Astyanax mexicanus: one gene and its partner. The protein of the gene in region 2 purifies or fractionates together with the protein of the main gene of each other region. This does not show direct contact. Links are inferred from orthologs where the notes say so. Each region holds a gene or a part of one and is shown on either strand. Other genes may lie near its edges.

Region 1 (10,796 bases), about 27 Mb from region 2:
CCCCACAGTGTCGAGCACTGATATCTATCTGCATCTCTTCAATGACCTCTTGCTCTTATCTCTCAAGACGTGAGTGTATTTTTGTTTATTTTGGTGGGAGATTTTGCATTAGGATAATTCTTAAATTGAATCCAAACCAAATCATTTTTTTTCTCATAATACGCACAGTACAGCTGTAGCGATATAAACTATAAACATACAAGATTGCACTACAAAAACATCTGCTTTTGGAAAAGCAATATATCTTAAGATTTGAAACTTTCTATAACATAATACTGTTATGTTAAACTTATTGGCTATATAGAGCCTATTTTTTTATCTTTTTGTGCATTTATGTAAATATTGTAGTCAGTGATATTTCTTTATGAAAATGCTTATTTTTAAATGTTGTTAAATCTCATCCCAAACATGTTTTGCAAGTATATCAGTAAAAGCATTTTTTTTATTCCCTATGAAAAAAAATGTTCATAGAATTTACTCCTTTTAAACTTTTTTTACATAGAGTCCAGTGTAAAATTTGCATTTACAATTTAGTGTCTGGGCTGTTGCACCTGTCTGTTACATGCATATCACTTGTGTAAATATTATCTGCAGATTACATGGACAGAGATTTAACGTGCAGGACTATGCAACATTCCCTGCTCATGTTCGTGTAGAGGAGCTAAAGACTCAAATGCTGGGGCTGCCTTCAGAAGCTTTTCTCCTTCGCCTCACCCAGAACCATTCAAAAACTGCAACTGCTATTATACTTGCTGCTCAGACACGGTATCTATTTTTCAATTCTGATCTCTGCTTGATTTTCCTGTAGAACTCCTAAAAACAAAGGTGTTTCAAATGGTTTTGTACAATATTCACTAATGAATGGGGTTTGTAATGAAGATATGTAAACTGAAGCACCATGAATTTAAGAGTGTATCTTAGCTGCACATTTAAGATGCTGTATGCTGTACTGGAAAACAACTGTTGGTCTTTGAAATCAACAGCAAACCTCACAGGCGTCCTTGTAGTGACTCCGGCCAACAGATTTAGTCCAGTTTGGAGCTAGCATACTTGCTACGATTGCTGCTGCTAAGCAAACTAGTTATACCCAATCTTATTTCTGTGAAACAACAAAAAAAATGCTGAACTTCTTATGCCTTTCTTGCCATGAAAAGAATTTGGCCTTACAAATGTTTACACTTGTTTTGTTCGGATTTGCAAAAATCAAATTTCACATGCTTCTTGCTGTCTGAACCCAATATAGATATGCCACAAATTAGATTTCCGTCCCATTTACAGAGGTAGGTCTGGCCTTGTATTTGTCCAGGGTGCCAGCAGACCAGATAGCTACTAAACTGTGAGAATACATTGTGTGAATAAAACAGAGTTTTAAATCAAGGCCTCCCTGTTGAATTGGATGTGAAAGTTTGATTCTTTTTAAACCCACTGTTTGCAGGTTGGAAAGAGAAACCTGGATCCAGCTTTTATCTTCACAGAAGAGCACATCAGGTAATTCAATCACAGATTTCATGATGGTAGTACACATTTTATTGGGTTTTGCATACATCATTTTTGTACATCCGTTCTTTCAGGTGTATGACCAAGCCTGCTTGAATGATGGCCTTATCCCACATTGTGAAAAACAGCATGTTCATAAACAATTGTTTTAATATAAACCTGTACTGTTATTTATATTCTAAATAAAGTTTGACATTTCTAATAATCAGTTGTTTCACTGTGCAATAATACAGTCCTCTGGTTATGCAATCCTCATTCAGTGTGATTTATTATCAGTCCTGTTTGTTACGAAGATTCATTCTTGAATAGAAGAAATGTCAATCACCTCCTAGAAACAAAAAAATGAGGTTAATTTATAGCATGTAAGTATAAGAAATTAACATGAACTGTTAAATGTAATGATAAACACTGCTATCACTCATGGAACAGGATATAGCAGCAGCTCATCTGTAATTATAACAATTTAATCAGGTGACTGGCCTTGAGGCTGATTGAAATGCGTGTCTCTACTGATGCTCCCACTCTATACCTACTATCAGCAATATTAAGCTCTACCTCAGTAACTGTTGAGTTCATGTATGTATTAAGCTATCACTGCGTATACCCATGTTGTAGCATATTGCATATCCCCCAAAACACGCATTCAGGTTGTACTGTGTAGGTACTAAGGCTGTAACTAATTATTGTTTTGGTAGTCCAATAATCTGTTTTATTTTTTTAGATTAGTCAGCAATTTATTTCTGCTATACTATCCTGGCTCCTTCTTTATTCATCACTTTAAAAAAATACAAATGTGTCTGTTTTCTTTAATGCCCTTTAACTGACTTGGGGACTTAATTGGGCACTAAAATTCGGAATTGATACATTTTTATAATTATGTTGACTACTTTTTACAGCCCTGGTTGGTACTGAACTGTCCTGTCTGTTAAAATGTCTAATGTCGGTTGTATGTATTGTAGTTCTAGTTCTGTTTGCACAATTTGTTGTAGGTTTGCTCTTCATGTTGTCTACAGGTGCTGGTCAACGAATTAGAATAATTTGAAATAGTGCAATCATGAAATTCTTTGAATGCATTTTTTGTGCAGAAAGCAAATCAGGTGTTCACCGCACCTGTCCTACTCGTTAGACTAATCACAGAACTCGTTACCTGGAAAAAAATTGGCTCAGCTGAGCTTTCCAAAAGGCCCATTTAGGCCATTTAACTGTGACACTGTTGTTTTATTGAATTAGAATAATGGAGAAACCGTTTCATTGAATTAGAATAATTTTTATTATAATTACAATCATCACTTTCTCAGTATTTTGTGGCTGCCCCCTTGGCTTGTATGACTGCCTGAAGTCTCCTCGGCATCGATTTGACCAGCTTGTCGCAAATTTCCGCACTCACAGCTTCCCAGGCAGTGGCGATGTTCTGCTTCAGTTGGTCCAGCGTAGTAGGCTTTCTGTCACGAATTTTCCGCTTGACGATGGCCCAAAGGTTTTCAATGACATTGAGGTAAGGCGAGTTGGCCGGCCATGCCAAAACTTCAAGCTGTTTTTTAGTGAACCAATCTTTGGTCGACTTTGCCGCATGAGCCGGTGCAAGATCCTGTTGAAATATGAAGTCTTCTTCGCCGAACTGTTCCTCAACAGTCGGAATCAGGAACGTTTCCAGAACATCTTGATATACGGCAGCATTGACAGTCTTCTTGAGGAAGCAGAGTTTCCCTACACCTCGAGCGGACATGCATCCCCAGACCATAACGCTCTGGGGAAACTTGACGGATCTTTTCACGCACTTGTGGTTGTAGGTTTCGCCACCACGACGCCAGACACGAGGACCTTGGTCACCGAAGGAGATGCAGAAGCGTGATTAGTCACTGAAGACCACTTTCTGCCAGGCTTCAGCAGTCCACTCGCCGTGTTCTTTGGCCCACTTCAGCCGTTTCTCCATTTGTTTCTTGTTCAGCATCGGTTTTACTGCTGGAACGCGAGATTTGAAGCAGAGTTCGCGCAGACGACGGTAAGTGGTTGATCTGGAGACGTCAGCGCCGGTCTGCTTGTTCCACAAGTCGGTGAGCTCGGAAGTGGACTTGAACCGGTTGCTGACTGCGATCTTTCTCAGCTGCTTGTTGTCGCGAGCAGAAGTTTTTCGGACGCCGGAACAGTTGGTGCGCTTGCTGCAGTTTTTCTTGAGAGCTTTGCAGACGGAAGACTGGCTGATGCCGAGCTGCTCAGCAATTTTAGTTTGGGTCAAGCCTTGTTGGCAAAGGGCTTGAATTTGAGCCACTATTCCGGTTGAGAGGTCGCGCTGCTTACCCATGATTGATTTTACAACTTAGAAATTCTACTCAACCCTGACTTTATACTGCACAGTGAACACTCTTCACAGAAAACAAAAATTCGAGCATTTATTCTAATTCAATGAAACGGTTTCTCCATTATTCTAATTCAATAAAACAACAGTGTCACAGTTAAATGGCCTAAATGGGCCTTTTGGAAAGCTCAGCTGAGCAAATTTTTTTCCAGGTAACGAGTTCTGTGATTAGTCTAACGAGTAGGACAGGTGCGGTGAACACCTGATTTGCTTTCTGCACAAAAAATGCATTCAAAGAATTTCATGATTGCACTATTTCAAATTATTCTAATTCGTTGACCAGCACCTGTATATCATACTGTTTGTACCATGATGCACCACAGTCCTGGAGGAATGTGTTTTCACTTCACTGTGTACTTGTACTCAGATGGAATGACAAAAGCCACTTGACTTGTATTGTTTTTTATCGTAAATAAACACATGCAATGTTACCTGTAAACCTGATGGCCTCCTGGTGTTCATTAGGTTAGAATTATGTGCCTGGTTGAGGAGACATCAGGTCAAAGTCTGACAGGTTCCTTGCTACCCAAACTCCAGCTGCAAACAAGCCTAGATTAACTAGGAGATTCCTATAGAAAAAAGAGAAAGGTAAGATAAATACTGTCAAAGGTTATTAGAGGTTATATTAGAGCCTTAACTATGCGCAGGACTGGACACTGGTGATTAAGCTATTGAGTTATTTTTAGGTGATGATTAAAACCCGATTAAAAAACACTGGTCACCAACTCTTCTTGTGGAATCTAACATTTTTTGATTAACCTTTTGTTAATCAAACTTTCTGCAAGTAAAAACTAAATGCACTGAGGAGTGAAAATGCTGGAAGGTAGAACTATTTTAGGGGTACCAAAACATACATAAAAATATTTGATGACACATGATAGACTCCACATTTAAATAGAGGTCGTGACCTAGGGATGCCACAACAGTTTGCCATTGAATAGATTAGCAATATGTTTGTGTTCAAGTATACATTAGTTAGACAGCTTAGCTAGGTTACAGATAATTTTATTATCATTAGCGGTTATCAGATTTTTTTTTATACTTAAAGCTAGTTTAGATAACATACAATGGTTACTTTAACTAAAACTAATGGTAATTCCTTACAGCAGTTATCGGTACCGTTATCTACCCAGCTAGCAAAAGGACGTTGAATCAACATTTATTTTTCCATCCCTATTGAATTAAAACTTTGATCTCCGTCAGCATTGATTTGTTTGTGTACACAGTTTACACTTATTTTACATTGTTTTATATGTATTGTTTTTGTATTGTGTTAAACATTAGTTAAATATGAATATCTTGTATTATTTTTATATATATTGTAAGAATTGACAAGTAATAATTACTAATATTATTAATAGTATTATTTGTGGGGAGCACCTTTCACATAAAAGCATTAATGTGTGTATATTCAGAGCCCCTACTAGAAGTGTGCCATATCGTACTGTAGGCAATAATATCAACAGTTTGGATTTTTTTTTTTCATATTATACCCTAAAATATCATGCCATATCCCCCACCCCTGATTATCACACCAAGGTACTACTTTGTTTGCAGTTTTCAGTGAAATAAAAAAAAATGTGTATATATGTATATATCTGCTAGAGACAGATTTTATCTGTCCAGAATCATTCATTTTACTTTAATCCTGGATATGTGGAGATATTTGGAATGCATTATTACTATTATGACATTCTGGATCATTGACTTATGTTACAAATCTGATAAAATTCTTGATTTTTATTATAAGTCAGTTAGAGGTGTGCCACATCATATCACATGCAAGAATAAAGTGTAATTTTCAATTCAGCCAAGAGTATACCATAAATACTATATTGCCCACCATCCTCTAAAATTCTAAACCTTTAGTTAAGTAAATGTTTGCAACACTAACCCATGCCTATCAGGCAATGCTAAATAAAGGTTGTTTTATGGTTGTTGTTTTTTTCATCATTAACCTTGAAAGATGTGGGTTAATGCAACCAAAAATATCAACACTAATGATGCGTATTAGTCAATGTTAAATAAAGGTTGTTTATGGTTGTTCTTCCATCATCAACCTTAAAGAGAACACAATGCAACCAAAAAAATGAACGTTTATTCAACGTTCTTTACCATTACGATTATCATTTAGTTGTAGCTACTCTTCTAATCATGAAAAGCAATTAGCTTTTCTAAATGCTTAATCTAACATATAGTTAAATAAATAAAATAAGCAAAGACCTAGATCTTCAGTATCTATTTAGCTAACGTTAGCTAATCCATTAGCTAGCAAACCTGACCTGGCTATCCTTAGCTATGGGTTTCTAACAGCTATATTAGCTTAGCTTAGCTTACCGTCTGAAATCGTTTCTGTCTGTCGCGAACCGACAAGCGGAGCTAAACCAGCCACCGATTCCTGGAGATGCCGCTTCAGGCTTCTTTCCTGCCCCACTCATTTTCTATTACTACTGATAAATATATTGAATAGAAAATAAGATAAGGTTATCTTAAGGTGGACGCTAGCTGCTGCTGCACTGCTAGACCTTGTGTAATGGGAAGAAACACGTGAGATTATCGTTTCGCGTTCCCGCTACGGAAAGCCGGATTGCTCAATGTGAGATTTAGATGCAGCATTTAAACCAACGCTACGCACGCCGCTCTGTTTGTCCCTGAGCGCGACCCTGACTTCACAAGCGTCTCTGTACCTTCCTCCCAGTCAAATATGGCAGCCACCAGGTACCGTCGATTCCTGAAGTTATGTGAAGAATGGCCAAGAGACGAAACAAAAAAAGGCCGGGATCTGGGGACTTTCTTACGGCAGAGAGTGGCCAGCGCGTTCAGGGAGGGCGAAAACACGCAGGTAACGATTATATACAGCTATATAACGATTAGGGGGACACACACAAATCAGTGTTGCAGACACGGTCACCTCTGGAGGAATCTGGATAAACACCGAACACAGCTGTGTCTTCCTGTACTAACACTGTCCCCTCGCTTACTGACTACACATGCAGTGTGTATTACTCACATGTGTGATGGATTCTCTTTAACTAGCGTTAGATAGTGATGCCACTGCTGTTTTTTTTTTTATTGATTTCCAAAAACATCATAATACAAACTAAGGCTGCAACGATTAGTCGATATAATCGACAACTAGTACAATGACAATTGTCAACTAATTGTTAATCGTTAACTTTATATTACATACTTTAATATTTTAATATACTGAACTGCTAAGGATTGTTTATAGGGCCACTGTAATTAGATGTGCATTTTTCTCAGCGCAAAGTTTCACTTGTTACGCACATTATATAATATACAATATTTTTTTGTGTATTTGTTTTTATTTTATTGCCCTTAACACACAGTGACGGGCAATCAACATTATGTAACTAAATCAGACTTTACTTACCTACACTTACACTTCACTTACCTACATCAGAATTGATACATTTTTGCATGTTTATTTTATGTTGATTAAACGTTATGCGTATATATGTATTGTTTGTACATTTAATAAATTTAGTGTTTGTGTTCTGATCTTATAGCCTGTACTGTGATCTTGCAGTGCAGAAATCCTGCAGAAATATCCTGAGTGTAGAAGAGGCCCAACCATTCAAAACCTTTAAATGATTACATGACAGAATCCCAACACTAACTGATGCCAACCTAATAACGGTTGTATTAAAGTTGTTTTTCCATCATTAACATTAAAAGATTTAATGCAACCAAAAATTAATGCTTATTTAATATTCACTGCTAATTAGGACTCATTCTTTCCATTTATACCTACCAAATTTACTCTGCAGTGAAAATAAAGGAATTTTTCTGAGCACTCTACAGCATGATAACATCATTGGCACTTTAGGGTTGAGAACTACTGATGAAGATGGTATTTTTGAGAATTGTACAGTAATTTAAAGGAAAATTACACTGAAATGGATTACAATAATTTAAAATTCATTTATTTTATTTACTTATCTTTTTCCTAAATAGATCTCTGACCCAGAAAAATGTGATCAGATGTATGAAAGTTTGGCTCGCATCAACAGCAATGTTTACAAAGAGAAGGTAGGTCTAAACCCAGAGAGTTTACTCAATATATATGCTTGTCATGATAGTATTATTTTCAGAGAGCTTGTAATATAATGCATTTGTGTGTCACATTTTATTATGTTTATTGAAAGAAGCTTCTTTAATACTTTTCCAGTTTCCTCGAGCAAAAGACACAAGTTTTACTGGTGTGACAGTAGAGGAGTGCCGGATGTTATTATCATCAGGTAAGATTTTTCTTTTTTGGTAAATGTTATCCTTTTTTTCCCATCATCATCATTTTATTCTGAAAGAGCTTACCTTTTACAGTTAAATATGTATAAGTGAAAAACATACCTGTAAGGTCAGTCATTTATAAGGAACAGGAATAAAGAAAGTCCATTTTATTGTACTGGGTTGCCAGAGTTAATCAGCATTTCTTCGTATGTTATGATTATTGTTTAAGGACCATCAGCAGATATGTTTTTGTTTTTTTTTATTTGGATTTGTCTACAGGTTGACATTTTGACCTTATAATAAACAGTGTATTTTTTTACCAAAATCTGAATAGAAGTTGGGGAGTGCTTTCTGACAGAACTTGTAATGGCAGTGTTATTCAGGTCATGGAATCACATTGCTCACTATTTACCTGTATGCTATGTTCTATAATCATAGTAGGATTTTTAAGTATGATTTGCATCAACCGTACAGACCATACTAGAACCCAAGTGTATTACTGTTTTGGATTTTAAAGTGTCCAAAAAGTTAATAGGAAGCACATTTAAGATTTATGTAAAAGTAAGTCATACACAACCTCTGCGTATTAAAATGCACAATTTTTGTTTTTGTTTTGTTTAACAGATCTGGACAGGTTGTATTGTCTAGAAATGTGCTGGAACATATAACAAACTTTTTATGATAAATTTTATTTATGAAGATAAATAGAAAGTGTGCTCTAAAATATGCAGTTTGTTTTTTCTTGAGAATTTAACTTTTTACAGAAAATTAACATGTCATTTTAATAGAGGTGCACACACTTTTGCATACAACTCTGCATTTATCTAAAATACATTTCATGTATAAACCTGTACATGCTCATGTAGTATTACCATTTGACCACAAGATGTCCTTCATGTTAAGTACTTATGTATTTGTTGTAATGATTAAGGCTGTTTGTTTTTGCAATGAGACTGCAACCGGACATCCTTTGGTCCCATTATTTTGTTGTATGATGCAGGAAGTATGCAACAGACGGATGAAGAAAAGAAGGGATTGTGGAAGACTCTGATGAACCGATTTTCCTCTAAGCCAGAAGACGCTTCTCCTGAGAAACCTGAAAAGCAGTAATTTACATTGTAAACTCAATCCTGTCACATTTACTATTATAAATGGTTATTTTTGCTTATTGTTACTGTCAGTCTCTGCATGTTTCTTATGCAATGTAGTTGTATAAAAACTGTATTTAATGTGTACATGGCTTGTAAACATTAAAGCCAAATTGTATTAAAATATGCTGAATGTTTTACAGAAACCACACTAAATTATTTCCACAGTCAACATGTCACATGTATTTTTTTATTATTTTATTTTGGAAGAATTACATAGTGCAATTTAAACAACAATATAAAATTAGCATGGAAGCAGGCAAAATGTTAGTATAAAACATCTAATCTAATTTTCACACTTTTTCAATATTGGTTGCCAAGTGTATAATAAGATATCACTTGAATATGCACTTAATGTGATTAAAGGCAGATTCTTGTTATTGACTGTTGAAAATTATATCTTGCTGTTTGTGTGCATTAATTTTGTTTCCTTTTTGTCCACTCTAGTCCTTTTTAGTTTCTGGGTTGTCCCTCCAGATACAGTAGTTAAGGGATGTGGCCAAGCAGAGCCAGGCCATATATGGGACCATCAGGAGTGTAGCAGTACGGTTCACTGGGTACCAAGACACCATGGTAGCTGCCACTGTACCCGAGAGCATCACAAGCTCAATAAGTGCCTGCAGGGAGAAGAGTACGGAAATGTGAGGCACAATAACAGGGCATATTTTTCACTCAACAGTTAGGTAAATACAAACTTAGTACAGTAGAAGTGCAGTAAATATTGAAGAACCACTTTATTGGAACTGTAATAAAGAAAACTGAACTGAATAGGCTTCTACTCTCACCAGTTTTATTTTGTGTGCTCCAAAAAAGATTGGGGTCCAAGCCCAGTTCAGTGCCAGCTGCAGGCCATAAAGCCCTAGTGGAACCAGTGAATTCTCATTGAAGCCTCCCAGCTCTTTCCACACCAGGTATGAACCATACCTAAAACAGAAAAAAATTAAGACAAGACATTCATAATTAGGTTTTGACAAAAGGCTGATAGTAAATAAAGTTGTCTACACATCATTGGTTACTATGCTGTAAAACGTGGATATGAGCATGTGTCCTAATTTTAATTAATCCTTAAACTAATAATACAGGGTCACCATCACATACTAACCCCATGCCAGTGTAGAGCGTGGTCCACACCACTGGAAAAGCAGCATTGGGTGGCCTCCATGATGGCTTGTTAAGTGTAGTGTACCAGGTCTTCACCTCTTTTCTTGTGATGAACCCTCCATAGAGCCCACCAACATGTGGTAAAGCAGTCAGACCCAACAATGGAATCCACATATCTATAATACAGAAGAGAAATCATCAAAAGTCTGTTTATTGGTGGAGTTAATTATTCACAGATCAGGATTTCTTAGTAAGCTGGATCCTTTAAGCCCAACATGTGGACAGCCCATTAGGAATGCTCATTAACTCTATTTCTACTAAACGGTACTGGCAAATTCTTTTTTGAGAACCCATGAACAGAACATTCACTGTCTGCTTGAATCAGGTTTGTGATAACAGGAAAACAGGGAATGCAGTGCATTGTTTTCAGCTCTGTAAAATCC
Region 2 (10,703 bases):
CTCACTCTTCTTTCCCCTCTCACTCGTCTTCCCCTCTCACTCTTCTTTCCCTCTCACTCTTCTTCCCCCTCTCACTCTTCTTCTCCCTCTCACTTTTCTTACCTATCTCACTCTTCTTTCCCTATCACTCTTCTTCCCCCTCTCACTCTTCTTCTCCCTCTCACTTTTCTTACCTATCTCACTCTTCTTTCCCTATCACTCTTCTTCCCCCTCTCACTCTTCACTCCTCTCACTCTTCTTCCCCCTCTTACTCTTCTTCCCCCTCTCACTCTTCTTCCCCTCTCACTCTTCCTCCCCCTCTCACTCTTCTTCCCCATCTCACTCTTCCTTCCCCTCTCACTCTTCCTCTCCCTTCTCCCCTATTGCTCTACTCCTACCTCTCACTCTTCCTCTTCTCACTGTTCCTCTGCCTCACAATCTACCTCTACCTCTCACTCTTTCTCCTCTTACACTCTTTCTTCTTCCTCTCACTCTACCTTTCACTCTTCCTCCTTACTTACTCTTCCCACCCCTTTGACTCTACCCCTACCGCTAACTCTTCCACCTTTCACACTCTTCCTTCCCCTCTCACTCTACGCCTACCTCTCACACTCTTCCTCTTTTCTTACTCTTCTTTCCCCTCTCACTCTACCCCTACCCCATCTCTTCCTCCTCTCACACTCTTCCTACCCTTCTCATGCCACCGCTACCTCTAACTCTTCTTCCTCTCCCCCTCTTCCTCCCCCTCTCACTCTTACTTCTCTCACACTCTTCCTTTCTATCCCACTCTACCCCTACCGCTAATTCTTTCTCCTCTCACACTCTTCCTTCCTCTCTCACTCTACCCCTACCTTTCACTCTTCCTCCTTTCTCACTCTTTTCACTTTTACTTTTCCATTTTACTCCACTTTTCCTTCTCTCTCATGCTTCTTCCCTCTCAGTCTTCCTCCCCCTCTTACTCTTACTCCCCCTCTTACTCTTCCTTCCCTCTCACTTTTCCTTTTCTCTCACTCTACCCCTACATCTCACTCTTCCTCCCACTCTCACTCTACCCCTACCTCTCACTCTTCCTCCCACTCTCACTCTAGCCCTACCTCTCACTTTTCCTCACCTCTCACTCTTCTTTCCCCTCTCACTCTTTCTCCCCCTCTCACTGTTCCTTCCACCTTTCACTCTTCTTCCCCCTCTCACTCTTCCTCCCCTCTCACTCTACCCCTACCTCTCACTCTTCCTCCCCCTCTCACTTTATCCCTACCTCTCACTTTATGCCTACCTCTCACTCTTCCTCCCCCTCTCACTTTACCCCTACCTCACACGTTTCCTCCTCTCTCACTCTTCTTTCCCTTCTAACTCTTCCTTCCCCTCTCACTCTTTTTTCCCCTCTCAATCTTTTCCCCCGTTTTACTCTTTCTTCACCTTTCCCTTCTCAATCTTCCTCCCGCTCTCACTCTCCCTCCCCTCTCACTCTTCTTTCCCCTCTCACTCTTCCTCCCCTCTCACTCTTTCTTCCCTCTTACTCTTCCTTCCCCTCTCACTCTACTCTTAACTCTCACTCTTCCTCCCCCTCTCACGCTATCACTATCTCTTCCTCCCCCTCTCACTCTACCCCTATCTTTCACTTTTCCTCACCTCTCACTCTTCCTTCCCCTCTCACTCTTTCTTCCCTCTTACTCTTCCTTCCCCTCTTACTCTACTCCTACCTCTCACTCTTCCTCCCCCTCTCACTCTATCCCTATCTTTCACTTTTCCTCCCCTCTCACTCTTCCTCCCCTCTCACTCTACCCCTATCTCTCACTTTTCTTCCCCTCTTACTCTTCTTTCCCCTCGCACCCTTCTTCCGCCTCTCACTCTTCATTCCCCCCTCACTCTTCCTCCCCTCTCACTCTTCCTACCCTCTTACTCTTCCTCCCCCTCTCACTCTACCCCGATCTCTCACTTTTCCTCCCCTCTCTTTCTTCTTTCCCCCTCACTCTTCCTCCCCTTCTCACTCTTCCTCCCTGCTCTCACTCTACCCCTAGCTCTCACTTTTCCTCCCCTCTCACTCTTCTTTCCCCTCTCACTCTACCCCTACCTATCACTCTTCCTCCTCCTCTTACTTTACCCCTACCTCTCACTTTTCCTCCTCTTTCACTCTTCTTTCCCCACTCACTCTTCCTCCCCTCTCACCCTTCTTCCCCCTCTCCCTCTTCCTTCCTCCTCTCACTCTACCCCTACCTCTCACTTTTCCTTCCCTCTCACTCTTCTTTCCCCCTCACTTTTCCTCCCCCTCTCACTCTTCCTTCCCCCTCACACTCTTCCTCCCTGCTCTCACTCTACCCCTACCTCTCACTTGTCCTCCCCTCTCACTGATCTTTCCCCTCTCACTCTTCTTTCCCCCTCACTCTTCCTCCCCCTCTTCCTTCCCCCTCTCACTCTTCCTTCCTCCTCTCACTCTACCCCTACCTCTCACTTTTCCTTCCCTCTCACTCTTCTTTCATCCTCACTCTTCTTCCCCCTCTCACTCTTCCTTCCCCCTCACACTCTTCCTCCCTGCTCTCACTCTACCCCTACCTCTCACTTGTCCTCCCCTCTCACTGATCTTTCCCCTCTCACTCTTCTTTCCCCCTCACACTTCATCCTCCTCTTACTCTTCCTTCCCCTCTCAGTCTTCTTTCCCCTCTCACTCTTCTTTTCCCTCTCACTCTTCTTCCCCCTTTCACTCTTCTTTCCCCTCTCACTCTTCTTCCTCCTTTTACTCTTCCTTCCCCTCTTACTCTTCTTCCCCCTCTCACTCTTCCTCCCCTCTCACTCTTCCTTCCCCTGTCAATCTTCCTCCCCTCTTACTCTTCTTCCTCCCTCTCACTCTTCTTTCCCCTCTCTCTTCTTCCCCCTCTCACTCTACCCCTATCTCTCACTTTTCCTCTCCTCTCACTCTTCTTTCCCCTCTGACTCTACCCCTACCTAATACTCTTCCTCCCCCTCTTACTTTACCCCTACCTCTCACTTCTCATCCCCTCTCACTCTTCTTTCCCCTCTCACACTACCCCTACCTATCACTCTTCACCCCCCCTCGTACTTTACCGCTACCTCTCACTTTTCCTCCCCTCTCACTGATCTTTGCCCTCTCAATCTTCTTTCCCCCTCACTCTTCCTCCCTGCTCTCACTTTACCCCTACCTCTCACTTTTCCACCCATCTCACTCTTCTTTCCCCTCTCACACTACCCCTACCTATCACTCTTCACCTGCCCCCTCTTACTTTACCCCTAGCTCTCACTTGTCCTCCCCTCTCACTGATCTTTGCCCTCTCAATCTTCTTTCCCCCTCACACTTCCTCCCTGCTCTCACTTTACCCCTACCTCTCATTTTTCCTCCCCTCTCACTGATCTTTCCCCTCTCACTCTTCTTTCCCCCTCACACTTCATCCTCCTCTTACTCTTCCTTCCCCTCTCAGTCTTCTTTCCCCTCTCACTCTTCTTTTCCATCTCAATCTTCTTCCCCCCTTTCACTCTTCTTTCCCCTCTCACTCTTCTTCCTCCTTTTACTCTTCCTTCCCCTCTTACTCTTCTTCCCCCTCTCACTCTTCCTCCCCTCTCACTCTTCCTTCCCCTGTCAATCTTCCTCCCCTCTCACTCTTCCTTCCCCTCTCACTCTTCCTTCCCCTGTCACTCTTCCTCCCCTGTCACTCTTCCTTCCCCTCTCACTCTTCCTCCCCTCTCACTCTTCCTTCCCCTCTCACTCTTCCTTCCCCTCTCACTCTTCTTCCCCCTCTCACTCTTCCTTCCCCTGTCACTCTTCCTCCCCTCTCACTCTTCCTTCCCCTCTCACTCTACCCCATCTTTCACTTTTCCTCCCCTCTCACTCTTCCTCCCCTCTCACTTTACCCCTACCTCGCACTTTTCCTCCACTCTTCTTCCTCCTTTTACTCTTCCTTCCCCTCTTACTCTTCTTCCCCCTCTCACTCTTCCTCCCCTCTCACTCTTCCTTCCCCTGTCAATCTTCCTCCCCTCTCACTCTTCCTTTCCCTCTCACTCTTCCTTCCCCTGTCACTCTTCCTCCCCTCTCACTCTTCCTTCCCCTCTCACTCTTCTTTCCCCTCTCACTCTTCCTTCCCCTCTCACTCTACCCCTATCTTTCACTTTTCCTCTCCTCTCACTCTTCCTTCCCCTCTCACTCTTCTTCCCCCTCTCACTCTTCCTTCCCCTCTCACTCTTCTTTCCCCTCTCACTCTTCTTCCCCTCTTACTCTTCCTTCCCCTCTCACTCTTCTTCCCCCTCTCACTCTTCCCCTCATTCTACCCCTGCCTCTTACTCTTCTTTCCCCTGTCACTCTTCCTCCTCCTCTCACTAGGGTTACCAACCGTCCCTTAAAATCCGTAATCGCCCCATATTTGGGCAGTAAAATACGCGTTCCGTTTTGAATTGATCCGGGACGCGATTTGTCCCGTATTTTTAAGGTGAGTTATTAAGGCGGGTGATTTGTTTCAGAAACACCGCTGCGGCGCTGCCCCCCTCCGCTGGAGAACAGCCACCCCTTCTAAACAGAGTCTGCGACTCTCATTGGTCAAGACACGGAGACTCACAACCAATCAGCCTCTGTTCAGGAGTGGCTGTTCTCTGAGCGTAGGAGGGGCAGCGCGGTGGCGCGTTCTAAATCACTCCCTCCCTATCACAGAACTAGTGCACTATTTACCTCCGGTTAACCCACAATATAGTGCACTATTCCTGTGATTTAGAACGCAGAGACCAGTGCTCACGTACAGCGTTTAACAGCACGCAGAAGGAGAGAGACCAGAGGCTGAGGAGAATACAGGGAGAGGAGAATACAGGGAGAGGGAGCAGTGTCAAGGTTCCCTGTGCGATATGCGTCTCCAGAAGCTGATATGGTATAAAAAAAAAAGCTCATTTGAAAGCAAAAATTGCACAATTTAATTTATTACATTAAAAATATTTATGTTATGAACAACATATTTCTGAACGAAACATACAGTACTGTGCAAAAGTTTTAGGCACCTGTGGGAATTTCAGTAAAGAAAAAGCTTCTTATCTGTGCAGTAAGTGTTTATTAGCTCAGTAAAACACTAAAAATACAATAAATACAAACAGCACTTTTACAAATAGCAGAGCTTTTACAGCCCTGTTCTCCTTAATAAAACATCTCCTAATCTCTCCTCCTCATCTAAGTTTTATAGAGTTATTCCTCATCATATCTACACCTGGTTTGGTAAATTGGTAAAGCAGGTGAGCTGCTGACGGAACTGAACATATACACATGCTGGCTGAGTAGCATCCAGGAGAAAATATAATCTCTACACTTTACTCTTTAGCTCGGATCACAAGATACAACATACGTAGTTAAATATGAGAATTCCTTGTTATGTTTTACTGTATTTATGTTTATTTTTTATTTTTTTTTATTTATTTGCATCTGTTCAAATCATATGTGGTGCTTTTCCGGTAAAAAACACTCATATTACTTTGGTCCCTAAAACGTTAGTACTGTATTTTATACATGTGGTTTGAATTAATCTAATACTAAAAGTGTCTGCCGAAACATATTTTTTTCAACAAACTTAGCATACTGTTTCATGGTTTTATGAAGTTATGTTATAAAATGTATAGACTAATATATATATATATATATATATATATATATATCCCCGTCCCCCGTCCCTTATTTCATTTTCGAAAAGTTGGCAAACCTAGGTGTTTGATCCGGTGGCTTATAATGGCCAGTTAGCTCATGTTGTGTGATTTTAAATAATAGTGTTTTGCTATGGAAACTTAAATGTATGTCAGATTGTTGTGTTTTATGCAGAGAACCGAGTTCAGTGCCGTTTTGAATTGTGAAATATGTATAAAGCAGAAAATGTGTTTAGTCTCGCGACAGGACTACTCTGTACACACGAGCGGAACTAAGCATGCGGGCTCCTGGTTTGTAGTCGGACTCGTTAGTCAGTGGAGCAGATTCTTTGACATTGCAGGAGAGGAGGGGAACCGCTTATAAAAGCTGTAACACGCGCAGCGGAGGGAGCTGCTGATTACCACCATCACCACCGCGCCGCCGCCGCCGCTGAAAGAGTGCAGTTAATATTACATTCTGACTTCTGGCGGAATTATGTACCGACGCCCTTTACAGTCCGCCCTGCGCAGCGCGTTCAGCAGCCGGACCGCTCTGGGGCAGGTAAACACACTGCAGCGGATACACCACCCCACCAGCTCATCCACCAACCTTACAACTCCCCTACTAACCCTTATAACTCCCTCTCTAACCCTTACAACTCCCCAACTAACCCTTACAACTCCGGTTTAACTAACCCTACATACTAGCCCTTACAACTCCCCAACTAACCCTTACAACTCCCGTTAAACTAACCCTTATAACTCCCCTACTAACCCTTACAACTCCCAATTAACTAACCCTTACAACTCCGCCTCTAACCCTTACAACTCCGCCTCTAACCCTTACAAATCCCCTACTAACCCTTACAACTCCCCTACTAACCCTTACAACTCCCCTACTAACCCTTACAACTCCCCCTCTAACCTTTACAACTCCCCCTCTAACCTTTACAACTCCCCTACTAACCTTTACAACTCCCCTACTAACCCTTACAACTCCCCCTCTAACCCTTACAGCTCCCCTACTAACCCTTACAACTCCCCCTCTAACCCTTACAGCTCCCCTACTAACCCTTACAACTCCCCCTCTAACCCTTACAGCTCCCCTACTAACCCTTACAACTCCCCCTCTAACCCTTACAGCTCCCCTACTAACCCTTACAACTCCCCCTCTAACCTTTACAACTCCCCCTCTAACCTTTACAACTCCCCTACTAACCTTTACAACTCCCCTACTAACCCTTACAACTCCCCCTCTAACCCTTACAGCTCCCCTACTAACCCTTACAACTCCCCCTCTAACCCTTACAGCTCCCCTACTAACCCTTACAACTCCCCCTCTAACCCTTACAACTCCCCCTCTAACCCTTACAACTCCCCTACTAACCCTTACAACTCCCCTACTAACCCTTACAACTCCCCCACTAACCCTTACAACTCCCTCTCTAACCTTTACAACCCCCCTCTAACCATTAACTAACTCTACATACTAACCCTTAGTTTCAAGTTTTATCTTATTCTCAGTAATTAATAAATTTCTGTTTTAAATTGTGTATCGGTGTTTTTAGGTCCCAGAGCAAGGTCCTTGCTTAAGTAAGGCATCTTGTCGTGTACTGGGAGCAAAAGCTCCTTCTCAGGCACAAAATCGAGCTCTTCATGGCACAAGAGAGGTGAGTTTCATCACTTTAATATTAACACCAGACTATCCCTTCAGATTCCATTAAATTACTAACCTGCTGATTTGTTTGCTGAGTTTCAATATTTCCCAAGCAAATTTGAAATCCTTAAATCTATGGGAGAAATGCATATTTAGTTTACATACATTATATATAATAAATATTTGCTCCTGTTTTACTCGTTTTACTATGTTAACATCTTATATAACTCATTGTCATTGGCTCTTAAATACGTTTAAAGTTGTATACTGGACAATTTTATATTAATAGCTGAAATTATCTGTAAAAATAAACATACTAGCTTAAAGGTGTTTACTGCTTAAAATGATATACAAACATTAACATTAACGACTTTAGATGTTTTGATCAAAACTTTACTTAGCGAAGTCCAAATGAAACAAAATAGTATGGAAAACGAAACATCTTTTAAAATAAGCTGGTCTGGGGACTTTTATATGCTGGTTAGATTAGTAGGTTCTGGGGTTTAATAACAGATGGATGGAGCTGTGCTGGTTAGATTAGTAGGTTCTGGGGTTTAATAACAGATGGACGGTGCTGTGCTGGTTAGATTAGTAGGTTCTGGTGTTTAATAACAGAAGGAATGGAGCTGTGCTGGTTAGATTACTAGGTTCTGGGGTTTGATAACAGATGGATGGTGCTGTGCTGGTTAGATTAGTAGGTTCTGGTGTTTAATAACAGATGGATGGTGCTCTGCTGGTTAGATTAGTAGGTTCTGGGGTTTGATAACCGATGGATGGTGCTGTGCTGGTTAGATTAGTAGATTCTGGGGTTTAATAACAGATGGACGGTGCTGTGCTGGTTAGATTAGTAGATTCTGGGGTTTAATAACAGAAGGAATGGAGCTGTGCTGGTTAGATTACTAGGTTCTGGGGTTTGATAACAGATGGATGGTGCTGTGCTGGTTAGATTAGTAGGTTCTGAGGTTTAATAACAGATGGATGGTGCTGTGCTGGTTAGATTAGTAGGTTCTGGGGTTTAATAACAGATGGGTGGAGCTGTGCTGGTTAGATTAGTAGGTTCTGGGGTTTAATAACAGATGGATGGTGCTGTGCTGGTTAGATTAGTAGGTTCTGGTGTTTAATAACAGATGGATGGAGCTGTCCTGGTTAGATTAGTAGGTTCTGGTGTTTAATAACAGATGGACGGTGCTGTGCTGGTTAGATTAGTAGGTTCTGGTGTTTAATAACAGATGGATGGAGGTGTGTTGGTTAGATTAGTAGATTCTGGGGTTTAATAACAGATGGGTGGAGCTGTTCTGGTAAGATTAGTAGGTTCTGGGGTTTAATAACAGATGGACGGTGCTGTGCTGGTTAGATTAGTAGATTCTGGGGTTTAATAACAGATGGATGGAGCTGTGCTGGTTAGATTAGTAGATTCTGGGGTTTAATAACAGATGGACAGTGCTGTGCTGGTTAGATTAATAGATTCTGGGGTTTAATAACAGATGGATGGAGCTGTGGTGGTTAGATTAGTAGGTTCTGGTGTTTAATAACAGATGGACGGTGCTGTGCTGGTTAGATTATTAGGTTCTGGTGTTTAATAACAGATGGACGGTGCTGTGCTGGTTAGATTAGTAGGTTCTAGTGTTTAATAACAGATGGATGGAGGTGTGCTGGTTAGATTAGTAGATTCTGGGGTTTAATAACAGATGGATGGTGTTGTGCTGGTTAGATTAGTAGGTTCTGGGGTTTAATAACAGATGGATGGAGCTGTGCTGGTTAGATTAGTAGGTTCTGGTGTTTAATAACAGATGGATGGTGCTGTGCTGGTTAGATTAGTAGGTTCTGGGGTTTAATAACAGATGGGTGGAGCTGTGCTGGTAAGATTAGTAGGTTATGGGGTTTAATAACAGATGGACGGTGCTGTGCTGGTTAGATTAGTAGATTCTGCGGCTTAATAACAGATGGATGGAGCTGTGCTGGTTAGATTAGTAGGTTCTGGGGTTTAATAACAGATGGATTGAGCTGTGCTGGTTATATTAGTAGGTGCTGGGGTTTAATAACAGATGAATGGAGCTGTGCTGGTTAGATTAGTAGGTTCTGGGGTTTGATAACAGATGGACGGTGCTGTGCTGGTTAGATTAGTAGGTTCTGGTGTTTAATAACAGATGGATGGTGCTGTGCTGGTTAGATTAGTAGGTTCTGGGGTTTGATAACCGATAGATGGTGCTGTGCTGGTTAGATTAGTAGATTCTGGGGTTTAATAACAGATGGACGGTGCTGTGCTGGTTAGATTAGTAGATTCTGGGGTTTAATAACAGATGGATGGAGCTGTGCTGGTTAGATTAGTAGGTTCTGGTGTTTAATAACAGAAGGAATGGAGCTGTGCTGGTTAGATTACTAGGTTCTGGGGTTTAATAACAGATGGATGGTGCTGTGCTGGTTAGATTAGTAGGTTCTGAGGTTTAATAACAGATGGATGGTGCTGTGCTGGTTAGATTAGTAGGTTCTGGTGTTTAATAACAGATGGGTGGAGCTGTGCTGGTTAGATTAGTAGGTTCTGGGGTTTAATAACAGATGGATGGTGCTGTGCTGGTTAGATTAGTAGGTTCTGGTGTTTAATAACAGATGGATGGAGCTGTCCTGGTTAGATTAGTAGGTTCTGGTGTTTAATAACAGATGGACGGTGCTGTGCTGGTTAGATTAGTAGGTTCTGGTGTTTAATAACAGATGGATGGAGGTGTGTTGGTTAGATTAGTAGATTCTGGGGTTTAATAACAGATGGATGGAGCTGTGCTGGTAAGATTAGTAGGTTCTGGGGTTTAATAACAGATGGACGGTGCTGTGCTGGTTAGATTAGTAGATTCTGGGGTTTAATAACAGATGGATGGAGCTGTGCTGGTTAGATTAGTAGATTCTGGGGCTTAATAACAGATGGATGGTGCTGTGCTGGTTAGATTAGTAGGTTCTGAGGTTTAATAACAGATGGATGGTGCTGTGCTGGTTAGATTAGTAGGTTCTGGGGTTTAATAACAGATGGGTGGAGCTGTGCTGGTTAGATTAGTAGGTTCTGGGGTTTAATAACAGATGGATGGTGCTGTGCTGGTTAGATTAGTAGGTTCTGGTGTTTAATAACAGATGGATGGAGCTGTCCTGGTTAGATTAGTAGGTTCTGGTGTTTAATAACAGATGGACGGTGCTGTGCTGGTTAGATTAGTAGGTTCTGAGGTTTAATAACAGATGGATGGTGCTGTGCTGGTTAGATTAGTAGGTTCTGAGGTTTAATAACATATGGATGGAGCTGTCCTGGTTAGATTAGTAGGTTCTGGTGTTTAATAACAGATGGACGGTGCTGTGCTGGTTAGATTAGTAGGTTCTGGTGTTTAATAACAGATGGATGGAGGTGTGTTGGTTAGATTAGTAGATTCTGGGGTTTAATAACAGATGGATGGAGCTGTGCTGGTAAGATTAGTAGGTTCTGGGGTTTAAT

What was found. The genes of interacting proteins can lie anywhere in the genome.
Region 1: the proteins of ubiquinol-cytochrome-c reductase complex assembly factor 1 (region 2) and ubiquinol-cytochrome-c reductase complex assembly factor 2 purify together in Homo sapiens (co-immunoprecipitation; 3 studies listed by BioGRID and IntAct, counting the BioPlex papers as one, with this or other methods). This does not show direct contact. The link is inferred for Astyanax mexicanus from reciprocal best matches to the Homo sapiens genes UQCC1 and UQCC2.

What each region holds. Positions count from the first base shown.
Region 1 is NC_064412.1:16,508,684-16,519,479, reverse strand, and holds ubiquinol-cytochrome-c reductase complex assembly factor 2, read left to right. Parts: upstream 1-6,508; 5' UTR 6,509-6,557; coding exon 6,558-6,695; intron 6,696-7,831; coding exon 7,832-7,906; intron 7,907-8,045; coding exon 8,046-8,115; intron 8,116-9,104; coding exon 9,105-9,214; 3' UTR 9,215-9,649; downstream 9,650-10,796. Other genes in the region: si:ch73-15b2.5 (rho guanine nucleotide exchange factor 19), read left to right, coding at 1-69, 595-765, 1,436-1,488, 1,572-1,579; tomm6 (mitochondrial import receptor subunit TOM6 homolog), read right to left, coding at 4,326-4,422, 6,191-6,291; tspo (translocator protein), read right to left, coding at 9,696-9,869, 10,038-10,176, 10,355-10,527.
Region 2 is NC_064412.1:43,866,804-43,877,506, forward strand, and holds the start of ubiquinol-cytochrome-c reductase complex assembly factor 1, read left to right. Parts: upstream 1-5,894; 5' UTR 5,895-6,073; coding exon 6,074-6,139; intron 6,140-7,145; coding exon 7,146-7,247; intron 7,248-10,703. UniProt on the Homo sapiens protein: Required for the assembly of the ubiquinol-cytochrome c reductase complex (mitochondrial respiratory chain complex III or cytochrome b-c1 complex). Involved in cytochrome b translation and/or stability.